5 linked regions of the Cricetulus griseus genome follow. The main gene of each other region encodes a partner of the protein of the gene in region 4 in a complex. Links are inferred from orthologs where the notes say so. Each region holds a gene or a part of one and is shown on either strand. Other genes may lie near its edges.

The links.
Region 1: the proteins of Eif4e2 (region 4) and Eif4ebp1 are in contact, whole or in part, in a crystal structure (PDB 5NVN), measured with the Homo sapiens proteins. The link is inferred for Cricetulus griseus from reciprocal best matches to the Homo sapiens genes EIF4E2 and EIF4EBP1. Residues at the interface, in NP_004837.1 of Homo sapiens: Glu53, His54, Pro55, Leu56, Gln57, Tyr58, Tyr64, Arg66, Lys83, Gln84, Ile85, Gly86, Val91, Glu92, Gln93, Trp95, Arg96, Phe97, Ser99, His100, Met101, Val102, Leu107, Phe113, Glu149, Asn150, Leu153, Gly157, Glu158, Gln159; in NP_004086.1 of Homo sapiens: Arg51, Ile52, Ile53, Tyr54, Asp55, Arg56, Phe58, Leu59, Met60, Cys62, Arg63, Ser65, Val67, Thr68, Lys69, Thr70, Pro71, Pro72, Asp74, Leu75, Pro76, Ile78, Pro79, Gly80, Val81, Thr82, Ser83.
Region 2: the proteins of Eif4e2 (region 4) and Gigyf2 are in contact, whole or in part, in a crystal structure (PDB 5NVM), measured with the Homo sapiens proteins. The link is inferred for Cricetulus griseus from reciprocal best matches to the Homo sapiens genes EIF4E2 and GIGYF2. Residues at the interface, in NP_004837.1 of Homo sapiens: His54, Pro55, Leu56, Gln57, Tyr64, Arg66, Asn81, Lys83, Gln84, Ile85, Gly86, Thr87, Val91, Glu92, Phe94, Trp95, Arg96, Phe97, Ser99, His100, Met101, Val102, Leu107, Phe113, Glu149, Asn150, Leu153, Leu156, Gly157, Glu158; in NP_001096616.1 of Homo sapiens: Leu38, Ala39, Asp40, Tyr41, Arg42, Tyr43, Gly44, Arg45, Met48, Leu49, Leu51, Phe52, Leu53, Asn56, Lys57, Ile58, Pro59, Asp61, Leu62, Asp64, Glu66, Phe67, Pro69, Ile70, Leu71, Gln72.
Region 3: the proteins of Eif4e2 (region 4) and Gigyf1 are in contact, whole or in part, in a crystal structure (PDB 5NVK), measured with the Homo sapiens proteins. The link is inferred for Cricetulus griseus from reciprocal best matches to the Homo sapiens genes EIF4E2 and GIGYF1. Residues at the interface, in NP_004837.1 of Homo sapiens: His54, Pro55, Leu56, Gln57, Tyr64, Lys83, Gln84, Ile85, Gly86, Val91, Glu92, Trp95, Arg96, Phe97, Tyr98, Ser99, His100, Met101, Val102, Arg103, Leu107, Phe113, Ile137, Arg138, Leu139, Arg140, Gly142, Leu143, Ser145, Arg146; in NP_001362694.1 of Homo sapiens: Leu36, Ala37, Asp38, Tyr39, Arg40, Tyr41, Gly42, Arg43, Met46, Leu47, Leu49, Tyr50, Glu53, Asn54, Lys55, Val56, Pro57, Glu59, Leu60, Glu64, Phe65, Ala67, Val68, Leu69, Gln70, Asp71, Glu72, Pro73, Leu74, Gln75.
Region 5: the proteins of Eif4e2 (region 4) and Tars1 are in contact, whole or in part, in a crystal structure (PDB 5XLN), measured with the Homo sapiens proteins. The link is inferred for Cricetulus griseus from reciprocal best matches to the Homo sapiens genes EIF4E2 and TARS1. Residues at the interface, in NP_004837.1 of Homo sapiens: His54, Pro55, Leu56, Gln57, Val91, Glu92, Phe94, Trp95, Arg96, Glu149, Asn150, Leu153, Leu156, Gly157, Glu158, Gln159, Met161, Val203; in NP_001245366.1 of Homo sapiens: Pro51, Glu52, Tyr53, Ile54, Tyr55, Thr56, Arg57, Met60, Tyr61, Ile63, Leu64, Glu67.

The regions. Positions count from the first base shown.
Region 1 is NW_023276807.1:56,590,440-56,594,671, forward strand, and holds the start of Eif4ebp1 (eukaryotic translation initiation factor 4E-binding protein 1), read right to left. Parts: upstream 2,847-4,232; 5' UTR 2,782-2,846; coding exon 2,640-2,781; intron 1-2,639. UniProt on the Homo sapiens protein: Repressor of translation initiation that regulates EIF4E activity by preventing its assembly into the eIF4F complex: hypophosphorylated form competes with EIF4G1/EIF4G3 and strongly binds to EIF4E, leading to repress translation.
Region 2 is NC_048595.1:438,969,143-438,973,556, reverse strand, and holds the start of Gigyf2 (GRB10-interacting GYF protein 2), read right to left. Parts: upstream 2,910-4,414; 5' UTR 2,786-2,909; intron 1-2,785. UniProt on the Homo sapiens protein: Key component of the 4EHP-GYF2 complex, a multiprotein complex that acts as a repressor of translation initiation. In the 4EHP-GYF2 complex, acts as a factor that bridges EIF4E2 to ZFP36/TTP, linking translation repression with mRNA decay.
Region 3 is NC_048597.1:116,448,684-116,451,870, reverse strand, and holds the end of Gigyf1 (GRB10-interacting GYF protein 1), read right to left. Parts: coding exon 3,156-3,187; intron 3,077-3,155; coding exon 2,957-3,076; intron 2,782-2,956; coding exon 2,681-2,781; intron 2,542-2,680; coding exon 2,459-2,541; intron 2,380-2,458; coding exon 2,224-2,379; intron 2,145-2,223; coding exon 1,920-2,144; intron 1,679-1,919; coding exon 1,488-1,678; intron 1,394-1,487; coding exon 1,233-1,393; intron 1,152-1,232; coding exon 985-1,151; intron 918-984; coding exon 788-917; intron 699-787; coding exon 646-698; 3' UTR 510-645; downstream 1-509. UniProt on the Homo sapiens protein: May act cooperatively with GRB10 to regulate tyrosine kinase receptor signaling. May increase IGF1 receptor phosphorylation under IGF1 stimulation as well as phosphorylation of IRS1 and SHC1.
Region 4 is NC_048595.1:438,858,690-438,862,859, forward strand, and holds the start of Eif4e2 (eukaryotic translation initiation factor 4E type 2), read left to right. Parts: upstream 1-1,200; 5' UTR 1,201-1,317; coding exon 1,318-1,337; intron 1,338-1,394; exon of another isoform or gene 1,395-1,803; coding exon of another isoform or gene 1,804-1,808; intron 1,809-4,170. UniProt on the Homo sapiens protein: Recognizes and binds the 7-methylguanosine-containing mRNA cap during an early step in the initiation. Acts as a repressor of translation initiation.
Region 5 is NC_048595.1:344,528,495-344,532,909, forward strand, and holds the start of Tars1 (threonine--tRNA ligase 1, cytoplasmic), read right to left. Parts: upstream 2,848-4,415; 5' UTR 2,725-2,847; coding exon 2,671-2,724; intron 842-2,670; coding exon 761-841; intron 1-760. UniProt on the Homo sapiens protein: Catalyzes the attachment of threonine to tRNA(Thr) in a two-step reaction: threonine is first activated by ATP to form Thr-AMP and then transferred to the acceptor end of tRNA(Thr).

The sequences.
Region 1 (4,232 bases), on a different chromosome or scaffold from region 4:
ATTACCATTGCCACCCTGACTGCTCGCCTGATTAACCTCACCCAGGCACTAATAGGTACGGGCACCCCAACAACTTCGTCAGAGGTCAAACATCCATCCTGGGCCTTTACTAGAAGATTCTGTTTATGGGACTGCTGACCATCTTAAAGACCCACATAGGACACTCCCCTCAGAAACGTCTTAGGTTCTCAGAATACCTAACTGGGTGGGCCAGCAAAGGGATAATGACCACAGGAATGGAGGAGGCTCAGGCCACCTGCTGTGTCCTGGCATTCTGGCCTCCCTCATGGCCTCCCCAAGACAACTGCTTCAAAGCCATCTCAGCTGAAGGGACTTAAGGCAATATTCCTTCATGAAAAGCTCACAGCCCCTAAGGGTCAATCACAAGCCAAGATGTACAGAAAAGCCTAAGTTCAGGAAATGCCAGCCTGACTTCATGCCTGGATGGAATCTACTTTGCCAGACTCCCAAAGACCTGAAAAGGCAAATAACACATGTATGGATGTCGCTTGTCCCTTTCACCTGGAAATCCTGTAAAATGGTTAGGCAATATCTCAGTCCTGCTTCAAGCTTATTGGCTATATACTCCTATAGATCCTGAGGACATAGCAAATCTCAAGGATATTAACATGGCCTTTGTCTCCCAGCCAGCCCTTGATATATGTAGAAAAATTCAAAAGTTAGATGGATTTCCAAGGAAGTACAGGTCAGAGCCATTAGAAACAGCCCAAAAGGTATGTAACAGTAAGGAAAGCCTGGATGGCCAGATGTGGTGGTGCACACCTTTAGTCCCAGAACTAGGAAGGCAGAGGCAAGTGGATCTTCATGCAACCCTGGCTGTCCTGGAACTCACTCTGTAGACCTTTGTACTCCAACTCCGTATTTAATTGGGGGTCTAAGTAATGAGAAACTCTGAAGCAAATGGGTCAAGCTTCTCCACTTTGGCAGAGAAGCCCTGGAAGGAATAGCCCTTGAAGAAGATCCAACTGTTTAGCTAAAGAACAGGCTTGTTGGCTTTGGCAGAAATGAGATAGACTCTCCTCAAGCTATGGGCTGTGTACCCCACAAAAAAAAAAAAAAAAAAAAAAAAAACACCCTGACAAAGGGCCAGTGGCTTTGGGACATCATGATTTGCCAACTTTGACACTTCCCAGTCCATAGTGTGAAGTGGATCTTCATACAAACAGTACTGTCCATCCGAAAAAAAAAAAAAAAAAAGGGGGGGGGGGCAAAAAGGGTTTCCCTGAGCCTTTAAGCCTGCCTCAGTGCCTGTACATAAAAAAAAAAAAAAAAAAAAAAAGATTCACGCCTCACCTGTAAGGACTCAACTGTCTGCCAAGTTTGTGCTTAAACACAAAGTTCTGTAACAAGACAAAGAAAGGGTGCAAGAGTGTGAACTAGAAGAGGCCAGGAAAGTTCTGAGAACTCCAGGAAAGGGAGACCAGAAGCCTGCAGAGTTTTCCCTGGGCCATTTCTAATGAAAGGGAGAATGCCTTCCCCGCTCTACCTGTTTGCTAGGAACACATCGTGACAATGCATAACAGACACGCGCTCAAAAAGGGGGGGGGGTTGTTCTGAAGACCAAGAGGCACAAACTGGACACTCATCTACAAGATCCCTTCAACGGCGCCTTGGTTCTGGGGTCTGGCTGTGTTCCCTGGTATAGGAACAGCTGCTTGAGAAAAAAGGCATGTGGCCTGGACGCGCCTGCAGTAGCCCAAGGTTCAGCGCAGCGCCAGGAACTCTCCTGTTTTTTTGAGTTGTAAGAGGAGAAGCTTGGGGGAGGAGATCAGGGAAGGGAGAAGCGCAAAATGGGTGGGAGCAGCTCGAGAATGGGAGGGAAGTAGTGAGCCACGAGCATTTCATCATGCAAACGGGCGTGTAGGTTTCATCAGCGCCTATACTGGGGCTCGGGGCAAGCTGGGAATGCCTAGTTCCTGGAGCCCGGCCCCGTCCCGCGCCAACTCAGCTTCCTCTTCCTCATCCTCCGCCACTTGGGCGAATTCAGCGTTGTGCCCTCCCCCCAGACCCGAGGAACGTGTTGTTCTGCACAGCCATGGACGCAGCGCCAGGCCCCTGTCTGGAGATCTCACTCTCTAAATCGGCTTCATGCCACAGGTGGCCGAGACGTGCTCCTGGGGCAGAGAGCACCCTCAACGCCCAGCCTTCATCAATAAGCGAGTGTCCCAACGCAAAACGAGGGTTGCCCGGGGAAGGTTAAAAAGTGTGCAGGCGTCCTTTATTCCAAGAGAGATCAACTAAACTTAATCTCCAGGCCTGGCCCTTCCCCTGCTCCACCCAGACCCCCATCCTGACCCACCCTAGAACTGTCGTGACACCCAGAGAGGCCTCACTTGAGCACATGGTAATCATGGCAGAGTGCCTATCTGTGTGCTTGGGGCACTCCGCGGTCTCTCCCAGGAAAAAGCGCGCAGTTTGCAGACGGGCCCCCAGACCACGCTCCACCACACCCAGCAGGCGGGCAACCGAGACGGTTACCCTCCAGCCTTCCTGACGCCCCTATCCGTTCTGTCCAGCTATGGAACCCTTGAGCGCCGCCACCCCCGTCGCACGTGCGACTCCGGATCCCGGGGTGCCCTCCTGCCCTGGAGGTCGCCCCAACCCCGGCCCGCGCCTACCTCCTGGGGTGGTGCTGAAGAGTGTGCCGCCCGGGGTGGTGCTATAGTCCCCGGGCGGGAGCTGCACGCCGTCGCCGAGGGCTACCCGGCGAGTGGGGATGGCCCGGCTGGGAGTCTGGCTGCAGCTGCTACCCCCAGACATGTCTCCTACGTGCCGCCCACGACCCTCCAGCAGCCCCGCGGCACCTCGGCCCAGCCCTTCTCCAGCCCGGCCCGCCCCTTCCGCCTGGGCTCCACGCCCCCTGAGACTTGAGGTCCGCCCGGCCCCACCCAGCTCCAGCCCGCTGCATGCAAGTTGTTCCCAGCTGCTGACCTAGCGGCTTCTGCCCTCTCCAGTGCGGGAACCCCAGTGTTGGCCCCTTAGGTTCCGGGGTCCCTCCCCGACGCACTGAGAAGAGCTATATAGGGGTGACGTTGGAAAAGCTCTCCGATTTGGTGACCGCGTTTTCGGCGCACTAGACGGCCTGCTTTCTATATTAGGATGTGATCTCTCGATCCCCAGCTGTTCCTACTAGAAGAAAGTAAGGGTGGGCTGATCCTTCGCCCATCTTAACGCTTCTTTCGTTTCCACTGTGCTGTAGGAGTCAGAGCAGTGGCTGAACAATGCGCATCCCTGGCCTTGAAAGGAGTGGTGGACTAAGAGGGAACTAGCCAGCCAGCTGGAAACTGACTGTAAATCTGATGTGGCAAGATCGGACCTCTGTAGAGGATGGGCTGGTCAAAGACGTTTCCCCAACAGTCCTCAAATTGTAGTCTATTCCAACACTTTGGTAGGGAGGGGAGGGGAGTGGCAAGGAGGACCGTCATGTCTAATAGGATAGAGAATCTATCAATCTCCATGTGGTAGGGAATGCCTGTAATTTCAGAACTGGGGAGGCTGAAGCCCTAGAAGGATCATGAGTTACAGGATAGCCCAGGCTTCTTAGTGGGACTACATCTCCACAAAGCAAAGCAAGCAATCAATAACAACCACAAACAGCAGAAAACTGAAGTTCAGAAAAGGACAGGGTTTTGCACAAGATCACACAGCTGACGAATAAATGCCTGAGGTCATACTGTTGAATGTATGCCAACCTTCGCTGGAGTCCAGGCTAGCCTGTCTCTCTCCACACTTGAGAACATACCGGGTCACCTTCCTCCCTTTGGGAGAAGCATTTTGAAAGGAGTTTTGCTTTTGACTTGTTTGGTTGCAATGGAGGCCCTAGATTTCCCAGAACTAAGATTCCAGGGAGGGCCTGCTTACAAAGCTCAACACTCAAGCTAGGTATGGTGCCACACACTTGTCCCAGCACTTGGGAGGCTGAGGCAAGAGGATCAAGGCTTCTAGCCTATGATACACAACAAGACCCTGTTTCAAAGAAAACAAGAAAGCTAGAACTGGGCTGTAGCTCACATAGTTCTAATACTGAAGAATCTGAGACAAGATAAATACCACAAAGTTGAGGCCAGGCATGGTTACAGTGAGTTTGAGGTACAGCCTGGGCCAGACAATGTGAGACCTTATCTCAAAAAGTGAGAGAAAGAAAGGGGGGACTTGGAATGCAGCCTAGTTGGTAGACAACTTACCTAATATGTACTAAGTTCTGGGTTAAA
Region 2 (4,414 bases), about 110 kb from region 4:
TCATTTCCCTACACTTCCAAATATTCTAAAACTTCCAATTCTTTTTTGTTTGGTTTGGTTTTAGCAGTACTGAGGACTGAACTTTGTCATCAGGCATGCTAGCAAGGCAAGTGCTCTACCACTGAGCTTTATTCCTAGCTCTTTTGAGTCTCAGTGTCTCACCAAGTTACCAGCCTGAGTTTGCAGTGCTCCTACTTCAGTCAAGAAGCTGGGATACCCTCCTTTAAAGGCCATTCCTTTTGAAAGGTATTTCCAGGCAACTTAACACCAATCACATCTAAGAAAAACTTACTTTTAAAATAATTCATTAGAATTCCCTAAACATATGAACTGAACACCGAGTTTCCCAAATGTAAGGGAGGGAGGGATATTGGCTCAAGTCTATAGAATCCGGATTTTCCTTTTCCATAGAGCTCAGCATTTGGGAGGCTGAAGCAAAATATCAAGCTTGAGGCCAGCCTGGGTTACACACACAGACACACACACAGACACACACACAGACACACACACACACACACACACACACACACACACACACACACACACACACACAGTCACAAGGGAAAAGAAGAGATTCCACAACAGTGAATGATCTATCTCATTTTCCTACCAAAAGAGGTCTGTAGACACATTGCTATCAGTTTCTTCCTCACTTAAATCTCTCCAGGCTGGTCACTCTCATGCTCTTCCTAGCAAGCCCTTGATAGGTCCAGCCTAAATTTGGCTTTGTCTCAGGGTCTTTTGCCCTTTTTGACTCTCAGGCTGAAGTACCCTGCCTCTACCTATCAGGTGTTTCCTCAAATTTGAACTTACCTGTAAGTCTCCTCAGGTGACTAAATTAAAAAATTAACCCTTCCCACAACTCTTATACCCTGTCTCCCTATCTCTTTTTTTCTACCTGAGTTAGCAATATGTGGTACAATACTTCCTGGCACTGCTGGCTAGGAACAGAGAGCCACAAAATCACAATCCAGCCATACAATTATGAGAAGGAAATAATCAAGATTCTACAAGCGACTTTGCTGGTAAGATGGGCAGCAGGCTGACTGTATTAAATGCATTTTCAGCTTAAAATATTTTCAACTTTCAATCAGTTTACGTTAGGAAACACTTGTGTATCTTTACTTAAGTATTTAGATATCTAGAAATGACTCCACAGAAACAAATATTTTTGTCCTCAGCATACGACATAAGTACTTAAAGTTTGTCGAAAAATATATAGTCCCTACTTCCCCAGCCACAAAACCGTAAAATCCTTGACAAGTACCAAAACAGGTATGTATGGTCTTTTCCTTTCTAGCAGATCACTAACATCATATCAATGTTAACTTTTCAATGTTGGTGCTATTTTTCCAGATACCTGTGACTTCTAAATGTTTTTCTAGTGTCTTCTAATGTGACAATGAAGTATATACCCTAGTTTAAGCAATTCAAATGCTGCTACACTAGGAAAGCACCATTAAGTGAGGACAAAGTATGTGTTCTAACTAAAATTAAAAGGATGGAAATTGGGGGCTGAAGAGATGGCTCAGAGGTTAAGAGCACCAACTGCTCTTCCGGAGGTCCTGAGTTCAATTCCCAGCATCCACATGATGGCTCAGAACCATCCTCTATGAGATCTGGTGCCCTCTTCTGATTTGCAGATATACATGGAAGCAGAATGTTGTATACATAATTAATAAAATCCTTTAAAAAAAGATGAAAATTAATAAACAAAAAGGATGATAAGTTTTGTCATCTAGGAAGTCATTGTTCCTAGGAGAAACTACAGAAGACTACAGTCCCTAAATACAACACTCTGAGCCAAACTACCTATAATCCAATGGTAGGAAGCCATCCCGGATTGATGTCCCTTAATTTCTTATGTTATGTTGGACTACTTACCTTCCTAATAGAGCCACTAGGTGTGTTTAAGTGCTTTGACTTTCAAGAAAATGGGAGGTGAGGGGACACAGTGCTACTAGATAAATGCAAAGCAACGCTCCTGCTTCCCAAACGCGGTGACACAACCTGCTTCTCTCACAGCCTCCCTTCCCCGCTCACTTGACCGGTATTTCGCATACAAAACTCAAGTGTTCAAGAGTGCTTCGTGGGAAACTGCTTGCCCATTTCAACCCGGTGTGAACGAACATTCCGGTGCCCGGAGCTGCCCGGGGCTCTACTTTCCCAAGCCTCTCAGTCCCAGGATCAGATCCTGACTCCACCTCGCCTGGGGCCTGCTCCAGACCAGTTCTCCGGCCGAGGAAGCAGTCTTCCCGAGTCCAGATGCTCGGTGGGGAAGGCCAGGGCGCACCTCCCCGGGGCAGGTGCGGGCAGGAGCGCCGGCGGGAGCAGCTGTCGGCTCCCAGCAGCTGTTAGCCGGGGCACCCCGAGGCTGCGCGGGCGGCCGGCCCGCCGGCCGGCCCCGAGGAGCGGGCAGCGGAAGGCGAGCCCTCCGGCCTGACACTGCCCACCCCGCCTCCCGCCTCCTCTCCTCGGCTTCCCCCCGCGATGCCACGGGGGCGAAGGCCGGGGGCTGCCCTCGGCCGGGACGTGCCCGGCCCGCGGCGGCCCTCGCACTAGAGGAAGCTCCTGCCGACCCCGCACCTGCCCTGTCCACACGTCTGACGCCCCCAGCCGGCCGCAGCCGCTGCCGGGCAGCCTCAAGTGTGTCCATGCGGCCAGCTCGGGCCGGAACGGCGGGGACGCAACGGTGAGCGCCAGGCCACGGCGGCTCGGGGCGCCACGGCGGGGCCCGGGCGCGGGATGGCCGCGGGCAGGGGAGACACACCGAGCCACTGGTTACCTGCGGTCCGGGACAGGAGTCTCTCAGAACCCAAGTCAATCCTCAGCCTCAACAACACAAGATGGCCGACACGTCGCCACGCACGTCACGTGACCCCGCGCGCCGCCCCGCCCCCTGGCCCGCCTACGTCCCCGCCTCCCTCCCTCCCCGCACTCCAGCTTCCCACGACATCTTTCCCTTCCTCTGCGGACCGCCCCTCCGGCCGGGCACGCCCCTTCCCGAGACCCGGATGCAGGGCTGGGAGAGGGCGGAGCAGCGGCTGCGCAGGCGCACACTGGGGCCTTTGGCTAAAGCTCCAATCGGCCCTAGAGTTGAGCTGGTGGCCTGAGCTGGAACCCGCCCAGCCAGAGGCCCTTGTGACTCACTTCCAGTGCACCCAATCCAGTGCCCCTTTGCAGTACAAGAATCTCCACATCACTTGGGAGCTGGATTTCCAAGCTGCAACTTTTCCATAGCTTTTGGCCTAGCATTGTCCTGCCAGTTTGCCCATCATGGAGCAAATGGCGAGGCTGAAATTCAAAGCAGTTTCCCTTCTGGTAGAAATGGAAATTCATTTTAAAGTGTTGGAATGTGACAGCTGGAAAGTGTTTTAAAGTTCTGACTCCCTCCTACTCCATGCCGGCCTACCACCCCTTTATATCCCGTGCTCCGGTTTTAGGGCTGCTAGCTAAAGGATAGGAAACTCAGCAATACAGAAGACAGGAAATTATCGGCTGTCTTTCTGGAACCCATGTTTACCTGGACATACTACTAGTTGCTAAACCTGCTAGAGCTACCATCTCAAGTCATCATGGTCTTTCTGGCGCCATTAGTCTTTTCCTGCCCTGGATACCGCCTTTACTTCTTGGGATTAAAACAGGGCTTTACACTACCAGTGAACTACAACCTCCAGTCCTTTTCAACATAGCTCTTCCCATCAACTTTTTCCTTTTTTTACAAATATACTCACATGGCTTTACCTTAAAATTAAATGTTGATAACTGGAGTTTCAGAGCTCAGTGATAGAATGAATACATAGCCTGTTGGGAACCCTGGGTTCAATACCTGGAAACTTATACACACATGCCAACCTCCCTCTCTGACTCCCTCCCTGAGTCTTGATTCCCTTTCAAAGTCAAACTATATAAAAGGGTATTAAATTCAGAAGAGTAATGATTAATCTTGACTGTCAACTTGATGGGATTTGGAGTCACCATGGAAACAAATCTGGGCAAATTTGTGAGGAACTACCTAGATTATGTTAATTGATGCGGGAAAACCCACAGTAGGTAAAGTGGGAAATACCATTGCATGGGCTGGGGTCCTGAACTGAGTAAAAAGGAGAAAGCAAGCTGTACAGAAGCATTCAAAGAATTCATTATACTCAGCTTCCTAACCTTGGATGCAATGTAACTGGCCACATCAACCTCCTGCCATCATGACTCCCCAGCCAAGGTGGACTATACTCTTGAACTGTGAGCCAAAATAAGCTTCTCTCTCTCTCTCTCTCTCTCTCTCTCTCTCTCTCTCTCTCTCTCTCTCTCTCTCTCTCCTTCCCTTCCTCCCTCCCTCCCTCTCTGTGGTTTTCAAGACAGGGTTTTTCTGTGTAACAACCTGGGATGTCCTAGAACTTGTTTTATAAACCAGGCC
Region 3 (3,187 bases), on a different chromosome or scaffold from region 4:
CTTACCAGGACACCTGCCACAGTAACCACCACAGGGAGCTGTTCACAGCAGGTCCAGTGGGCAGCGCTTCTGGAGAGGGCCTCGCTGTGTAAACTGCCAGCACCCATCTTCCAGTCACCCCAATGACCACCTTCTGGGGGGCAGCAGCAGGGTAAGTGCAGCCTTAAGGGGAGCCAGGCAGGGCAGTTCCATAGGGCATGGTACCCACTGCCCCAAAATAACAGTGTGGTTCCCCCCCCCCATTATTTTTCATCTTAACCAAAAAAAACAAAACAAAACAAAAAAACCCAAACAAAAAAAAAACCCAAACCAAAATAAAGCCTCTGTGGACCTTCCAATGTCGCACCCATTATCCCCAAAGGGGTGAAGGGGCCTACAGTCTAGTTTTTGAATGATACTTTTGTCTCTCCTAACGTTGAAAATGAAAGAGAAAAAAAGAAAGCCCCTCCCCGTGTGTAAAGTGCCTCGTGGTGGGTGAGTTAAGGTGCATCGTGTGGTCTGTAACAAGTGCCGGGGACCATGCCCCACTTGCTTCCTCCTTTGCTCCTTGTTGGGAGCCCGCAGGCTGGAGACCCAAGGGTCCATGCTGCCGCCGCCTCCCTAGCCTCCCAAGCCTCCAGCTCGGGGGCTGATGGGACAGGCTGGTCAGTAGTCATCCACGCTCTCGATCTCACCGGAAGGGCCATGCAGGGAGTACCCTGAAGCCAGGGGAGAAGTGAGGGTGAGCTCACTAGGTCCTGTGCAGCCTGTGCAGGGAAAGCAGGGCTCCCCAGCACCCTCTACTTACCCAAGATGCTGGGGTCTGAGTGAAGCATCAGTGCCCTCCTCTTGGCCTTGCTGCCCTCCCCAGGGCCCAGTTTGGTGCTGTGGTTGGCCTGAAAGGCTGTCTGTAGGGAGGTGCTACTCAGCCAGGCCTCCTAAGGCAAAAGAGTGGAGTCAGGAGAGCCCTGGTGCCTTGCCTCCCTAGGTCCCACAAGACTCTACCTGCTGCTGCTGCTGCCTCTGTTGGCTGGCTTTCTGCTTGGCCCTCCGCTCCAGGAATTGTTTGGCAAATTCTTTGGCTTCCAGCGTGTCCCCCAGGCAGGAACGGATATAATCATGGACATCATAGGGGGACTCCACCTCCTTGAGGATCGCTACAGCCATGGGCACTATGGGGAGGGACAGTCAAACATGCTGGACAGGTCTAGAGTCCCCAGTGCAAACATGACCCACAAGGACTGCCTTCCTACCATCCAGGCTGCCTGTGGTGCTCAGGGTGTGTAGCATCTGCTCACACCACTGGGTAAAGCCATCCTGGGGCCGAGGGATGCCCTGCAGCAGCTTCAGCAACTTCTCTTCCTCTTCTGTCTTTTTGCGAACAGGTCGACCTGACAGGTGGCTGTATGAGTCACTGAGGAGGGTGGGGAATTGGAGGCCACAGATGAGCCCAGGAGCTTAGCACCCATCCCTCCCTGGCAGACCCCAGCTAAAAAGGTCTCACCCACCTGAGAGACGGGCTGCTCCGACTGTTCTTTAGGCCCAGGTTCCGGGCCAGGTTCCCGCCACTCTTGACGGTGTCTTCCCAGAGTCCCAGACTGCCACTGCTGCTGCCCCCACTCTTGTCTGGCCCGCCCCACAGTGGCCCAGCCTCAGACACCCACTGGTTCAGAGGGGCAGTGCCCAAGCCCCCAAGCTGCTGCAAATGGCAGGAAGTCAGGGGCTCGAAAATGAGCCCTGAACACCTAGGCAGGGAGGCTCTTTTGGGGGCTAAGGGAAGGGGATGAGCTAACGACTAGAGAGAGAGGACATCCTTCCAATAATGGAAAGAACCAGGTCTTCAGCTTTAGAGTCTACGCTTAGGGACACCCCCCCACCCCCCCACCTCCCTGAGTGCTCCTGGAAGCTTCACTGGTGTGGTTCCGGCCGCTGCTGCTTACCACTCGGTGGTTGGGGGCCTGGGCCCTCAGAGGCTCCCGGGGTGCAGGCTGCTTGTGGAGCTGCCGCTCACTTTCCATCTGCAGCTCCAGCAGAGTCTTCATGGATAGGCCCTGCTTGGCTAGGCCGGCCCAGAGTGGGGGAGGGGAGCTTGGCGCAGGGGGCACAGGGACACTTGTTGCTTGCTGCTGCTGTAGCAGCTTCAGCAGCAGTTCCTGCTGTCGCACCTGGGTGAGGCACAGTGGATGTTGGTGGCTGTCTGGCACCAGGCACAGGCCAGGTCCAGGAGACAGGTGGGACTTGTACCTGCTTGCGCCGGAAGAGCTCTTCCTCTTCCTGCCGCCGCTTTTGCTCCTCCTGCTGCTGCTGCTGCTGCTGGCGGCGCTTTTCCTCACGGCAAAGGCGTTTGCGCTCCTCTTCCTCCCGCTTTGCCCTGAGCTCCACTTCTCTGCGCTCTTGAAACTGCAGTGACAAGGACATTCGTTAGCTGGGAGGCTGCGCCTGCTTCAGCTGGCCTGCGCCAGGCCAGCAGGCTACTTACTTTATGTTGCAGCTGGAGTTGTTCTAGAATTGGACCCTGAGTCGAAGAGTTAATTGGTATGTCCCAAAGACTGGCTTCACCACCTGCAGAAGAAAGGCAGCTGCAGAGACCCAGACCCAGCAGAACCACCCGCAGATAGGAGGCAGAGCCACCAAGTGTGACAAGCAGAGACTGGGGGGTAAAGGGGACCAGGGTGTGGCATGGGGCAGGTTGGCCACTCACCTGACTGTGATGAAGCTGAGGTATGTAAGTCCCAGAGGGGGCCCGAATCTGGCACCGACAAGGACCGGCTCATCGTCGGGAGCAGGTTCTGGTCGCCACCCCTTAGAAGCAAACAACTGGCCCTCAGGACACTGCATTACCTGTAGCTTGACCTCCTCCTTCTCTACCTCACACCATCACACACACACCCCCTCCCACACACAGACAAACCCTCCCACACTCACCCCAACACTCACACAGACACCCCCCCACACTCACACACTTAGTACAACAGACCTGGGGGTTTTGAGAGCCTGGAGCTGCTGCAGGAACGCAGTGAGCTGCTGCTGCTGCGGCGGCGTCAGGTCCCCCATAGCTGCCTTTTCCCGGAGCGTCGTACACTGCGGGAGCTGGCGGCTACAGACATACTGGGCTCAGACGGTATTACCACGTACAACCACTGCCCTGCCCACACCAAGCCCTGAAGTCCCCATACCTGCCGACCAGCTGCAGAAAGTGCTGGTGCTG
Region 4 (4,170 bases):
CATGGTGCATAGACGTATGTGCAGGCAAAACACACATACACATAAAATGAAAATAAACTTTAAAAAAAAAAGTAGTAGGAGCTAGGGGTGTGGAATATAAGTGTGGAATTTTGGATTTTTTGAGGCCCAGAACTAAAACAGTACATTTCAGCTCCCTATACCACAGCCTCAAAATACATATCTTCAGAGGTAACTTCCCATTCATTTGCTGTAATACCCCCCCAATTGATCACAAAAGATTTATCATCTTTTTCCATTGTTGGAAATTCTCACCTGATCCACGTTTCACATGAGCAAGTCCAGAAAAAGAGGAACTCTCTAGAACACTCCTTTAGGGTCCAAATTCCCATCTCTGATCGGATCTCAGAGATCTCAGATCAGTCCAACTCTGCAAACGCACCTTTTTTTGCCTCTCTTCTCAAAGGCCAGGGCACTTGGAGGGGGAGGGCTAGGGCTGGGCTGGGCTGGGCCTGACAGGAGAGCTTCCTCAGCTTCCCTTATACAATGTTATCAGGAAAATAGGATGGTCCCTTGAGGTCTAATTTGGGAGAAAAAAAAAAAAAACACAAAAAACAAAACATGACCTTGCTGAGTGACCAGGGGACAACCGTGGGCCAGTCCAGGGAGACCGTTTCCTGGCCTGTAAACACACAGGCATAATCAATTTCTGCCTCTCCACTTCTAACAATGGGACGTGTTCAGCAGCAAATGGATCAGAAATGCACAGCCGGTGGATTTGGAGATCCATTACCAACTAGGGAATTTTTTTTTTACTGCTGTGATGTGTTTGGGACCGTCGTTAGGAGTGTGGGGGCAAAGCCAAACCCTCTGGGGTCTCGGTAAATTTAAGTGTGTCACCGTAGCGGGGAGAGTCTCATGTATCCCAAGCTGCCTCAAACTCTCTGTTGGTCAGCCTGGTCTGGATCTTCCTGCCTCCACTTCCCAATTTGTTTGGAGTGGTTTCTCGTCCTCCACAAACATCAAGAACAAAGGATCAGCTCTCAGAAATGAACACTTGGTACCATTTACTATGCTGCCATTTCCCCTGGAACCCACGGGGAGGTTAAAGCAGATGGCCGGCTACCACAGCGCTCAATGCCTCACGAAGGCGACGGAGAGCAAGCAGGCCTTGGGCAAGCCGGACCGCGACTGGCGCAGGGACTGGGTCGCCCGTCAGGGAAAGAAGTCCCGCGCCCGGCCTGCGCGCCAACGTTCCGCTGAGCGGCTCGACAACCGGAAGTAGCCGGGCTCTTGACTCAGGGACCGGGCAGAGCGGAAGTCACTCCGTGAGGCAGTGGCGACAGCGGCGGCGAGAGGATGAACAACAAGTTCGACGCGTGAGTGGCGCGTGGCCGCCCCCGGGGCCCCTTCCCCCAACCGTCCCCCGGGACCGCTCCCGCCGGGGCCGGGCGCGCACTCAGCCGAGCCGCTCGCTCCCGGCCGCCGCGGCCGAGCCTCCCTGCGCCCGCGCCCGACGGGGCCGGGAGAGCGTGGCCGAGGTCGCCGGGACCCCTGAGCCGCTGGACCCCGGCGTGGCGCGGGCCGGGGGAGGGGAGGCCGCACCGCCCGGAAGGAGATTTTCGGACGCCCCGCCCTGGTGGGTGCGGGCTGCCGGCGGCGTGGAGGGGCGGGACCTCGGCGCTTCGGGTGTTTCCGCAGCCTTGCTCCCTTCTTTCTGAAGCGGCTTCCCTCCCGCACCCGCTCTGCGTCCTGGGAAGGTCACCTGCCCCTTCTGAACCTCGGTTTTGTCTTCTGCAAGCGGGGACGGTAACAGAGCCCGTGTCGTAGCGTTGGGCAGCTGCGATGAGGTAATGGGGCAGCCGCGCTGAATACTGTGGCCTCTTGAGTACGGAATGCTTTTCATCCGAGATTCTTCCTGCTTCCTTCCCATCCCCCAGCCACCCACCCACCTACCCACCCACCCACCTCAGTTCCTGTTTTCCAACTCTTAGAGACTGCCCACTCCTGCATTCTTTTCAAGTACCCACTCCCATCCCTAATTCCCGAATCGAACATTTAGGAAGTACAGACAAGAAATATTGAAGTGTTTGGGGGGGCGGGCATTCCCTTTTAACCAGTATATCTTTTTGCATTTAAAAGTAATTTTCGTTTCGTTTAACAGCACTTAAACAATTGTATCTTTCAGTAGTGCTCCTTTTTGTAGTGCACCTTCCTCTTTCATTTCAAAGACTACATTTTTTAGTTTTAGGCCCACCAAATGTTTGCCAGTACAAAAGCTCTCCAGTATGAACTATTGCTCTAACCTCCCTAGTGGTTAGAACCCTCCTGGAAGGATCAGAACACACTCTACAATGCTGAGAGGGACTTTTCTAAAATGCCCATAAGGAGGTGTGAAGGTAGAATGGAACCACCAATAGGTGGTGAAGCTGCGGTTTTTCTGATGTGTATACCCAGGAAGTACTGGGATTCCAGCAGTAAAGGTGGCTCGTGACAGGTTTTCTTGATGGCCGAGTGAACTCTGCTTCTTGAGAAAAGCAGATGTCCTCCATCTCGGCTGCTTTGCTGAGCACAGCAGCAGGATAGCAACCCCTTTGGCCTCCCATCCTAAGCCCTGCAGTACCCAGCCCCGCATCGGCAGCCCTTCCACCCTTCCTCTCCTTATTTGAACAAATCAAACTGAATCCCAAGAAGATAGTTTTTAGGTCATCTGTCTCGAATAAAGGTAGTTATAATGACCACTGTCATAGACACTATTCTGTTGCTGTGAAGAGACACCATGACCAAGACAACTCTTCCGACTTGTTATCTCCAAAAAGCATTCAAATATGTGAGCCTATGTGGCCATTCTAACCTGCCCAGCTACCCACAGGCATCTCTAGGTACTTCTTTTTTAGGTTAGCATAAAGTTAACAGGTTCTGTTATGACACCTTCATACTTATGTATCATTACTTCATTCTCATTCTTTCCTCTACTGTACTCCCCCAGGGTCCCTTTCCTCTGATTCCCTTCTAGTTGGTTCCCCCCTTCTGCTTTTCTATTATATTGCCCTCTGTTTCCCACTATTTTCTTTATAACTCTGCAAAAGAGATCTTTATATCTTTTCTTACAGTTAAGGGAAATGAGGCTCTTCAAGGCTAAGTAACCAGTGCAAGATAGCCTAAAGGGCCAGCTCAGGTTTGCACTTAACTTTGTTCATGAGTGTCTTTATCAACATTTTTTGGGGGTGGTTTTAATTACTTGTAACTATTGGCTGTTGTAAAGAGTAGGGTCTTTTTAATGCCTGCAGGAAAAAAAAATAAGAGTAGTTTCATTTGAAATTAGCAATTAAAGATCATACCCTTGCCCCTAGTGTTGATTTTGTCATTTCACAGTTTCATGTGAAAAGCCTGCAGTTTGTAGACTGTTGTTCCATATTTGGAGTCTGCACTCTTCATCACATCTCCCTGAAACTTTTTAGCGTCATTCTCAAAGTGCAGTCTCCAGTGAGTGCTGTAGTATGGGCACAGATTAATAAGGAGCTCTGACCTTTAATATATGGGCTCTGCTTCTGTCCAATGTAACCAAAGCTGGTAATGGCTTTAAAGGGTGCAAATTTGCTAGGTCTAGTTGCCTTTCTTGTTATTAACATATAAAACCCTAAGATGGTCTCTCAAGAACTACAGCACCAACTGTGGTAAACTTGGTTTCCAGATCCTGCATTTTTGGAGGCCAGGATTGGTCTGGTCAGTTTTATATGGTCCTTTTCTGTCGTAAGCTTTTGGCCCATTCATAAGTGTTTCTAAACCACCCAATTTGATATCATTTTGATTTTGGAGATCCATTAATTAACCGTGTTTGTTTTATGTTTGTGTCTGATGCTAGAGATCCAGTGGAGAATTAGATCAAGTTCCTACCTGTACAGAATTAGCCCACTTCAGAAGGTGTTGGGAAATACCTGGACAGAAGCTTGGAGAGCTAACCCAAGTGTCACTTAGACTGGACATAAATCAGGCAGCTTGAGTCTGGAGTGCTGCTCTTTCAGTGTGACTTTACCTTGGCTCAAATCCAGCTGCAAGCCTGGGAGAGCAGCTTCTGAAAATTAGGTTGTAAAACTTTTGCCTTAGGTGTAGGTGCAGAGAGCAGGTTATTTACATGACTTCTTCAAGAAATAAAAGCAGTCAGGGCACAGTGGTGTACACCCTTGAGCCCAGCACTCAGAGGCAGAGGCA
Region 5 (4,415 bases), about 94 Mb from region 4:
TCTTCAAGCACCAGGAACCAACTGCATTCTGGGATGGCTTTAAACTGCCAGTTCTGAGTCACTGAGCCCAGCAACTGAACAATTTTCTGGATATAAGTATACCAGACCCCAGAAGCAGATCCAAGCAATAAGAAAGGGATCAAGGAACTGGATTCTGTTTGGTTCTTTATGTACTTGTAGGAACCTAACACTGAGCCCTTACCCATTCACACCTCACTTAAAAAAATGGAAAGTCAACATCCAGTCTTGGCAGCCTAGTGACAACTGTAGCCCTTCCTCGATACTTTTGATCTCTCATGTTTCTATCTAAATCCACTGTGACGTCATCTTACAATAATACACTTGTCTGTCTGCACTGTCAAGTACTTGCAAATCCTTTTTCACTCTCCGACACTTTTCTAACTCGTCTTTCTTTGTTTTCCACCTAGTACTACCTTACTGCCTTCGGTGACCATGAGAACCCTTACACAGGGGCCACCAAGTGTAATATCTGAACTCTATCCTCAGCACCCAGAGTGGAGAAGGACTGCATTGCATACCAGCTGCCCTCTGGCTTCTACACGTGTGCCATGGATACACACACACACACACACACACACACACACACACACACACACACACACAGAGTCTCTCTCTCTCTCTCTCTCTCTCTCTCTCTCTCTCTCTCTCTCTCTCTCTCTCTCGTTGGGTAAGTTCAGGACAGCTCCTTGTTCCCGCTAGCCTGGGAAACCCAAGCCTCTAAAGCGGTAGCTTGTTTTACCTCTGCTCGACCTCCATCTCCACCTCCATCTTTGTTCTTCTTCTTGCCTCCTTCCTTTCGCTTCTCCTCACTGACATCCACCTAAAGAAGCAAAAGAGAAGTTCTCATATTCCAACCTAATTTGACATCTTCTCCAAAACTGCAGCTAAGAAAGCTATTATCTAAATAAATAAAAAAATTAAAAAGGACAATCTTATTCTGAAAGACTAGAAATTCCATCACTGGTAAAAACAATTTAGACAACTTGCAATAAAAAGAAGCCCTAAAAAAGTAGAAGGCTACTTATGGATGTACACTTTAGGCTTGGACCTGTAGTAAATACAAAGCAGCAAGAAATTATACAATTTAGTCAATATGAGTTATTTCAGGGGCAGGGGAATATATTATCTACCTACCTATTCAGCCCGAAGCATCTCCAGGGAGCCTAAGTGGGCTGTGTGATCACACTTGTCAGTTCACTTCTAGGTCCAGTTTTCCCTCTTGTGAACTGGGTGTAACTATTTTATTTAACATGGCCTTGTGAAAATTAAATGTGAAAGGCATAAAAGGTTTGGCCTGTGGAGCTGGGGATGCAGCTTAGTGACAAAAGAACTTTTGGGTTAGATCTACACCCCACCAAGTAAGCTTTCCAAAATTTAAGATACCTGATTATTATGGAGGCAATAATACCACATTTTACATTTCAATTCATTTTACTCATAAAATCTCTAATGTTTTACTACAAGCCTGCTCAGGGAGTGATTATCTTGGCTAACTCCTAGCCTCATGTTAATCTTAAGAACCCAGGGGGACCCTGAAATAAAAGAACTGGGTTTAAGAGTAGGATTAAAGGACAGTCTGGAAAGGAGTAAAAGGGTAACCAACTTGTAAACGGTAAAATACCATTTTTTAATGGAAACAATATCTATGTGTAGTTATCACTCATCACCTTAAAACTGTAGTTTAGACTGTATACATAAACATTTTACGTCCTGGATGGAAATTCCTCTTGTCGAAGACCTTAGAGATGTTCACTTGGATTACCAAACATCCTCTGTCATAGGGCCTCAGCTCTCAAACCTCAATGCCAAGTCAGTTTTGACAATACAGTTCATATACAGCACCTTCATGATTAAAACCCTGCATGTAGAGAACACTAATATCTTCGATCTCTATTTCCTGTTTCTCTCCTGTCTCTTCCAATGCAGCTGAAACACAACTAACCCCCTGTATCTGGACAGCCCTGTCCCGCCTACTTTTCCAGACCTCATTTTTCTAAATCCAATAAAACAGTCCTGGCCGTACGAAGTTCGGTGCTTCCTCTATATCGCAACTGAGCTGATCACACAGAACTTCAATTTTCCAGTCTTGAATTCTACGCCTCCCACCCCCCACCCCCACCCCAAAGTCAGGTAATCGATCTTATTCCTGTTGCCACCTGCGCTGTCCGGCTAAACGCCAGGACAAACAAATACACAGAACATTTGTTGGCTTTCAGGAGGGCGCGTGTGAAGTTATCTAGGACGCTTCCAGCACCCAGCCTAATTTCCAAGCAGTCTGTTAAATGGAGCTATCTAGCCTTCACCATTTGCACCCAATCTTGGTCAAACTGGATCTGGTCTCGAGGACTGTCTTTCCCCTCCTAAACTAGAGCTTTCTGCTCCACAAAAGTTTAGGATTTTTAAAGTTCTGCAATGTTCTTCCCGCCTATCTCGGGGACACAAATGTGTGGGAGTCCAAGCCCTCCACGTTACTGTGTAGCTCTGAGCGAGCTGGTCAGTCTCAGTCCACACACAGATCTCTGGGAGAGGACGACCCCCGGGCCACTCCTGCCTGCTGGGGCTCCCCAGTACCGGCAAGACCCTGCTACTGTCCACTCCCGCCGGGCAATGTCGGTTCCCAGGGCACGTCCAGCCACTGCGCCTGCTCACCGGCTTCTCGCCGTCCATCTTCCCTGAAGGGCTGCTGGCCTTCTCCTCCGACATGGAAGGACCGCTGAGAGAGACAAAACCCGAGAGCTACGCCGCACAGAAGAGCCCAGGGCGGCAGAGAAGACCAGCAATTCCACACTGCGCGTGCGCCACGTGGCCTTGCCGGAACCAGCTGATGCAATGGGGCGCCAGGCCCCGCCCAGCTGCGATGGACGCAGGACCAATGGACCACGCAGAGAGGCGGGCCCTCACTTTCCTCAGCCAATAGAATGGCTGGAGCATTGCCGAGCCTTTCTAGGAAATCCGCAAGCGCCCTCCTGCCCATCTGACTTTCTGTCACCCGCAGGGCCTTAGCGGCCACCGTACTGAGTGCGAGCGGCTTCGGCGGAGTTTCCAGGAAGTAGTGGGCAAACTGGAGATGGTCTCTGGCGCTTTGGCTTGTTTCACATGCCCTCTACCTGGCCTGTTGGGTGGCTGCGACGGTCTGAAGCGGTGACTCAAGCCTTCCTCGTGGGAACGAAACCGGTTTGTTTTTGGGGAGACAAGCGCCATTCTTCAATCATTCCTCAGTGCATCACGAAGCTTTTCCTTAGAAGGCGCACAAATAAAGTTAATTTCTTATTTCAGGAAATAACTTCTGATTCCACACGGAAGTCATTTGTGATCGGGGGCTCGAGATTAACTGCTTCTTATTTGAGCATCTGTGCTCTAGTCGGACCGCGTACCCTAATAGCAACCACCGCGTGGTTTGTTGTTTGTTTTCCTCACTGTGTAGCCAGGGATAGCCTCAAACTTTCAATAGAGACCTGACTGATCTGGGAGCTTTTGCGGTAACCACCCAAATTCTGGGATTAAAGGAGTTTGCCATCGTGTGCACCCTAAACCACCACCACCCCTTTTTTCTCTTTCCGTTTTTGGAGACAGAGTCTCACTGTGTAGCCCGCTGTCCTGGAGCTATGTAGACCAGGCTGGCCTCAAACTCACAGAGATCCACTTGCCTATGAAAAATAGGTCCTAAAAAACTTCAACGATTATCTTCTTATTTCTAAGGAACACATTATCCTCCAACGTATGTTATAAATTTGTGAAACTGCATTTGTCCCTCTCTTCTTATTTTTCAGCAGGCTACCTCTGCCATTTCTGAGGATACTGACATGCCACTGACTCTTCTCCACATCCCAGTCTCTATGAAAACTAGCTTTCAGGAATTTCTTTTCACTGAATAAATGACAACTAGATTTAAATATGTTGTTTTACCTAAGCCCCAAAAGCTTAGGGTTAGAGTTTTCTGGAATTCAGCACTACTAATATTATGCCAAAACAATCCTCTAACCTACTCAGAGTCAATACTTTCCTTCTCCCAATTGTGATAACCAAATACTCCAATAGCCATTACCTAACATCTCACTGGACTAAAAAATGACTCAGCCGAGAACATTAGTGTGAAGGACTAGGTTCCAGATGTGCAATCTTTGAGCAAAGGAAAACTCTACTAGAGGTGCTCTTAAGCTATCGACCCTGAGTGATTGCCGATAAAGGAGAGACCCAGTTTTCTCTGCACGGTCAGATCGTTTTCTCTCCTAGCAAATCTGTCTGTACCCACACTTTCTGAGCATTTGCTCATGGAGATGTGTGTGTGTGTGTGTGTGTGTGTGTGTGTGTGTGTGTGTGTGTGTGTGTGTGTACTGTATATATATAGTTCAGTTCATATAGAAATACAAGTGATTTTTTTTATTTCTTTTCTT